2 linked regions of the Drosophila melanogaster genome follow. The protein of the gene in region 1 binds, or shares a complex with, the protein of each later gene. Each region holds a gene or a part of one and is shown in the gene's direction. Other genes may lie near its edges.

Region 1 (3,763 bases):
CTATTTTATGCGTCTTAAAATTCAAATATGCGCGCCATTCGTAGCATTAACCAACACTGTACCAGCTGGCAATGTAAATTGGTATATTTTTGGTATATAACTATCGACCCTCGGCCATCACTAACATGCAGCGTTGCCCCATCCCATCTAACGCAAGTACCAAACTAATTTGGCCATCTGGCAGCACTGGTCAAAAGTGACACGGCGACAACCAGCTTAAAAGCGAAAGTTAACAATTAACAATTGCTGGCGTCCATAGCCAAACACACGAGCCAGAAACTGGAGCCACCCCAAAGCCAGAATGTCGCACGCCATCGACGAACTGCAGGCGATCATCGCCGATCTGAAGACGGAGCTGGAGACGGAGCCGAAATCCAGTGGCGGCGTCGCTAGCAACAGCCGCCTGGCACGCGATCGCATCGATCGCATGTCCGCCGAGGTGGTGGACTCCAATCCGTACAGCCGCCTGATGGCCCTGCAGCGGATGAACATCGTCAAGGACTACGAGCGCATTCGCTACAAGGCGGTGGCCATTGTGGGCGTGGGCGGCGTGGGAAGCGTCACCGCCGACATGCTTACACGGTGCGTGCACAACAAGAAGAGAAGGGCAACAGTCATTGTGCACCACAGCTAGCACTCCAAATATGTTGTCTTTAATTAAAGGCTATGTATTAATCAATTGATTTCCTGCAGCTGCGGCATTGGCAAACTGATACTCTTCGACTACGACAAAGTGGAGCTGGCCAACATGAACAGACTGTTCTTTACGCCCGATCAGGCGGGCCTCTCCAAAGTTGCGGCCGCCGCCGCTACCCTGAGCTTTATCAATCCGGACGTGGAGATTGAGACGCACAACTACAATATTACAACGGTGGAGAACTTTGATCGCTTCCTGGACACAATATCGCAGGGCGGACGGATAGCTGGCCAGCCGGTGGATCTGGTGCTCAGCTGTGTGGACAATTTTGAGGCACGAATGGCAATCAATGCAGCGTGCAATGAACGCAATCTCAACTGGTTTGAGTCGGGAGTTTCGGAAAATGCCGTCTCGGGGCACATTCAGTTTATCCGTCCTGGCGATACCGCCTGTTTCGCTTGTGCACCACCCTTGGTGGTGGCCGAGAACATCGACGAGAAGACGCTGAAGAGAGAGGGCGTGTGCGCCGCTTCATTGCCCACAACTATGGGCATTACGGCTGGCTTCCTTGTCCAGAACGCATTAAAGTATCTGCTGAATTTCGGCGAGGTCTCTGACTATCTGGGCTACAATGCCCTTAGCGACTTCTTTCCCAAGATGACGCTCAAACCGAATCCGCAGTGCGATGACAGAAACTGTTTAGTTCGGCAAAAAGAGTTCCAAGCCAGGCCCAAACCTGTGCTGATCGAAGAGAAGGCAGTCAGCGAAGAGCCGCTGCATGCCACCAACGAATGGGGCATCGAACTGGTCGCCGAGGATGCGCCAGAAAGTAATACAACGCCCGCCGAAACCCCAGTGATGGGTGAAGGGCTGAGGCTCGCCTACGAGGCTCCTGAGAAGTCCAGCGAAACGTCAGAGGAAACTGTATCTGCAGCTACCGCGGACGAAACCAGTCTGGAAGACCTGATGGCGCAAATGAAGTCCATGTAAATTGATTCCGTACTCCGTATTTATAGACACTTTTTGTAAAACACACACTTTTTTTTTGATAAACTCAGCTTCGATTTGTGTAAAACTTGGGCCGAGCCATTTTTTATTTATTTATATATAGTAACTTTTAGTCACTTGATTAAATGCTTTATGCTCAAAATTATTTGAATTACGCGGGAAATTTCAATTCTTGCAGTTTCTAGTATTTCAGTATTTTAAGCTTCCCCTATCTGGCAGCACGGTCAACTAGTCCGTTATCGATTGGCAGCGATAACGATTGACAATTTTGTTGTCGCGTTGTCACACAAAAACGAAGAAAACTCCTGAAAAAAGAAAAAAGAGTTTTTCTGAGCATTTCGCAAACTTCTCTTGGAAATCAAGGGCATCAAAACACAATAGAGAGCAGATAGAAGATGGGCAAGAAGGATGAAAAGTCACAGCAAGGCGAGGAGGTGAGTAAACCGGTTGCCGGCTTGGCATTTGGTCCATTAAGATGTGTTCCACGTCATTGTAGAATGTAAATGTAAACTAAGTGAATATGTGCATAAACTAACTCCATCCTGTTTCATGTGCCCTGCCAGCTGGTGAAGGTCAACAAGTGGGATGGATCCGCAGTGAAGCACGCCCTCGATGATGCAGTGAAAACCTGCCTCCTTGGCGATCGTCCCCAGCTGAAGGAGCAATTCGGCCTGGTCAACACCCGTTTGGCCCTCTGCGCCCTCGCCGTTTCCGTGGCTATAATGGCCCATGCTTGGGACTTCACCCACCCCTTCCCGGAATCCCGTCCAGTGCTCCTCTTCAGTGTTTTGGCCTACTTTGCACTCCTCGGCATTCTGACCCTGCACTCCAGTTTCCGCGAGAAGGGCACCTTTGCGGTGGCCCTGCAGAAGGACAAGGAGCGGGAGCGCCTGTGGGAGGCCAGCTCCGATATGCGCAAGTACGACGACAAGTACCTGCTGACCCTCAGTGTTCGCGACACGAAAAATGGCAAGCGGCGCGAGCAGAGCAGCAACAAGTCGTGCGCCGCCTTCATCGATCAGAATGGCATCGTCCTGGACAACCTGGTGGCCAACGAGGTCAACCGTCTGTTCAACGCCTTAGCTGCCGACAAGAAGAACGCTAGCAGCCTTTCTTCTAATTAAACCAAATTCCCCACTTTTGTCTCATTAAATTGTACACTTTTGTGGTAAGCCGACTGTTTGTCTTTTGTAATAAGCGGAAAAACTATAATATAAAATGAATTCTTTGATTTACAGCTTAACATAAATTGTCTGAATCTGATAGAAACTTAACCAATGATTTGTGGACTATTTTATTATAATTTCATGGGTTCAGCTGCAAAAATCTAAAAGTTAAGAGGGCGGGGATTCCGGTGGCGGCAGAGGAAGAGGAGAGGGTGCCCAAACTGGAACTGGCGGCGATGGGGAAACCCATATTGCGCTGATAAGGCCATTGATATTAATTCCATATTTAACCTGGCTGCCTTCCCAGAAGTTAAACATCAAAATTGGGAGTTGTCGATGTCAAAACGTTTATATATATATATCAATGTTTTTATATTCCAAAAGCTCATATTTGTGACATACTAAAGATTTTGGCTACAAGAGAGTAATGTACGTAATGTAAAGTCTATATGTACGACTAACTCATGTGTTTTTAAAAGATTATTCTATTTGTTATTATATTTATTCACAATGTGGAGATGTCCCAATCCAAGTGTACCCAGAAATCCGAGTGTTTTTGACCTTCTTCCTGCGGCGCTCCGGCTTCCTTTGTCATCATCATCTTTTTATTTTTTCAGATATCTGTATGGGGCACTACGGTTCCTTTTCCCATTTCCCATTACCATCTTCTCTTTAATTTCTACATATTTCTTATGTCTTTCCAAAGCCTCAATTTCTGACATCTTCTGGGCCATTTTCTTTTTCATAATCATCTGCTTTTCTAACACCTTTGCTGCCATTGTATCCTTGGCCGTCTTTAGAGCCTCCAATTTTCCCTTAGCAATCTTTAGTGTCTTCCCGCATTGCCGGTCCTTCGACTTCTTTTTTTGCACTTTCCCCTTGGCCATCTTCGGCTTTTGCAAGTTTAGCTTTTCCTCTTTCTTATTTTTCTCAAGGACTTGCTTTGATGTCT
Region 2 (2,753 bases), on another chromosome or scaffold:
CGCTTATTTCAGATACTCCTGCGAGCAGATACCATTCGCACGATGTCGTACTACGCGGAGCGAGCCCTGTCCCTACTCTACCCGCTGGCCATCGTTTCATCGCTGGTCTGCTGCATCACCTCGGCGGTGGCCTGGACACACTGGCAGTACGTGCTCAATGCCTGCCCGGACACCAATTGCGGCTGCGTGCTGCACGGCAAGAGCACGTTCCACAGCTTCGAGGGCGGCAACGTCGCCTACTGCCACTTCGCCACCTACGGCCTGCTGCTGCCGCTGCTCTTCGCCGTCGTCCTGGGCGTCTACCACGGCTACCGCATGTGCATCGGTCGGGGCAAGCCCAAGGCGGGCACGGCCACCATCCGTCAGCGGTAAGAGCGGGCGATCGCGATCGAGTGTCGGCGGGTCAATGGGGTTAATCGGCCAGCCACACTCGTTCGTCTGTCTGGCTATGAGTAATGCCATCATGGGCTCCAACTTGGAGCAGCATCAACTGTTTGCTTACGCCTCTCTGCTCTCTGCTTGCAGCTCCGGTGACATGATCGTGGTGACCACCGAGTCGGAACTCACGCCCGATGGTCTCTCGCCCTACTACTGTGAGTGTCCATCGTCTCCGAACTTAACTATGTACAAATGTGTAATACTTAACTAATTTAGGGCTGCCCGCCACCGTCATCTCGACAATAATGGCCGTCTACCAACTGGTCTACTCGGCCGTGTTCACGGATGGCTTCGAGGTGACTTGCAAGCAGTACAGGGAGTCGCTGCTGAAGGAGATCCAGGGCGTGGGCAACATTGTGCCCGTGATCAAGTCGCGGCTCTCGTGCGCCGCCGTCTTCGACTTCATGGACTATCTGGTGGAGAGCGTGTCGTACGAGCGGCGACGCTACGGGCGCATCAATACGGCCGCCTGCCTGTACTTCACCCTGGTCTTTGCCTGGATCGCACTGCTCGCATGGCTGCTCGTCTGCGTGATCAATGTCGTCCAGCTGCGGCGCACGAAGGCCGCCAGGGTCTGAGTCCTGCCATGAATCGGGAGGCGCGAGGTCCTCTACACTTTACATTCCACCTGTTCGCCTTTTAACTTATTTAGTTAGTTATAGTGACACACAAGCCAGAACGTCCACGTTATGAACGCATTGTACAAATAATATACATATGTATGAACAACGAGCGATTATTCACATCGCAAGCCTTTTCAATAAAATGACTATAATTGCATTAAAGATATGCATGCATACATATATGTAAATGAAGTTAAGTATTTTAAATGGGCTATTAGTTTGCATTAATTGGCGTGGTTTAAAATTATATAAATCATTTAAAGATGCAACATTTTTGCCTTCTATAAACTTATTTTACATATTTTGCATAAGAAAAGGTGAACTGAACTTATTTATTTTGTTTCAAGAGCTTACTCTGCAAAGGAAAACATCATTTAGAGAGTAATAATCTCCGTTTTGTTTGCATATTTTAAATTTAAAATAATAAAACACAATTGAAAGCTACAAACAATTTCGCTATTTTTCAAACACACTTATTTTGAAAAAGAGGGAAATAAGCATGTACAAAAATAATGGGAAATTCACCGAGTTCCAAATTCCAGTATATTCTCATCCCCTTGGCATTTTTCGCTCGGCACGGTCACACCATTCGGCTGCTGACGTGCCGCAAAAGAAAATTGTTTACGCCGAAAATTGTTGAATCGCAGCTTGTGAATTGCACAAAATGTTGGACATCCAGACGCATATGGTAGGTATGCTTCGCAACCATTAGCACATAACACTAACACGGCACTCTACCGCCGCAGGACTTCGCGGGTCAGGGAAAGGCGGAGCGCTGGTCGCGCTTCATCATCACGTTCTTCGGAATTGTGGGCCTCGTCTACGGAGCCTTCGTGCAGCAGTTCTCACAGACCGTGTACATCCTGGGCGCCGGATTTGTGCTCTCCTCGCTGGTGAGTAGCTGTCGTGTTAGTAGCTCCATTGCTAACAGCACGAGATTCCTGCACAGATCACCATTCCACCGTGGCCGCTGTACCGTCGCAATGCGCTCAAATGGCAGAAACCCATCGATACGGACGCCAAGTCGTCGAGCTCCGAGTCCGGCGACGAGGGCAAGAAGAAGAAGAAGCAGTAGAATCAGTGGGATCAGTAGTTAGTTAGGCCAGCAGTTACGTGTACTTCTCACTACATCCAATATAATATATATATATACATATGTATGTCCATTAGAACGCTAGATGGGTCGTCGGTAGGCGATGAGGTCGTTGTGGTCATAGTACTTGTGGATGAGATCGTACATGTGGGCGAAGAAGAAGAGCAGATTGTCGTACTGCCCATTGTAGGGCGCCTCCCTGCCCACATTCTCACTGGCAGCTGTCTTGGTCAGCGGCTCTGCCAGCTGATGGAAGCCCGCGGTGATCTCCAGGTTATCGAGTCCGCGATAGGCGGTGTTCAGGCCCCAGGCATTGATGTGCACCTCCAGGAGGAACTGGTGAATGGCCTCGATGGTGGCCAGATACCAGCGCGGACTGCCGCGCTGGTGGCGCCAGAATTGCGACAGTCGATTCTGCAGCACCACCGTTCGTAGGCCGCGCACCCTGGCGTCCGCGTAGATCCCGCGACTCTGGTTCCATGTGCTGTCTATGAAGACGGCTCGGCGGACGGGCAGGTTGTCTAGCGTCCAGGTTCGTCGCACCGTCTCCGGCTCATCTACCTCCTCCTGCAGCTCCTTTACCTCCACCTCGTCCATTC

What was found. Proteins that work in one complex are often made in the same cells at the same time.
Region 2: Spase25 (region 1) and Spase12 share a complex: the UniProt entries of both Drosophila melanogaster proteins name them as parts of the signal peptidase complex.

The regions. Positions count from the first base shown.
Region 1 is NC_004354.4:11,483,353-11,487,115, forward strand, and holds Spase25 (spase 25-subunit), read left to right. Parts: upstream 1-1,897; 5' UTR 1,898-2,040; coding exon 2,041-2,079; intron 2,080-2,208; coding exon 2,209-2,769; 3' UTR 2,770-3,214; downstream 3,215-3,763. Other genes in the region: Uba5 (Ubiquitin-like activating enzyme 5), read left to right, coding at 302-582, 694-1,627; CG33235 (uncharacterized protein), read right to left, coding at 3,417-3,763. UniProt on the Drosophila melanogaster protein: Component of the signal peptidase complex (SPC) which catalyzes the cleavage of N-terminal signal sequences from nascent proteins as they are translocated into the lumen of the endoplasmic reticulum.
Region 2 is NT_033777.3:29,490,011-29,492,763, reverse strand, and holds Spase12 (spase 12-subunit), read left to right. Parts: upstream 1-1,613; 5' UTR 1,614-1,725; coding exon 1,726-1,749; exon of another isoform or gene 1,750-1,807; coding exon 1,808-1,954; exon of another isoform or gene 1,955-2,010; coding exon 2,011-2,136; 3' UTR 2,137-2,220; downstream 2,221-2,753. Other genes in the region: CG2310 (uncharacterized protein), read left to right, coding at 43-368, 526-593, 655-1,016; CG2006 (uncharacterized protein), read right to left, coding at 2,236-2,753. UniProt on the Drosophila melanogaster protein: Component of the signal peptidase complex (SPC) which catalyzes the cleavage of N-terminal signal sequences from nascent proteins as they are translocated into the lumen of the endoplasmic reticulum.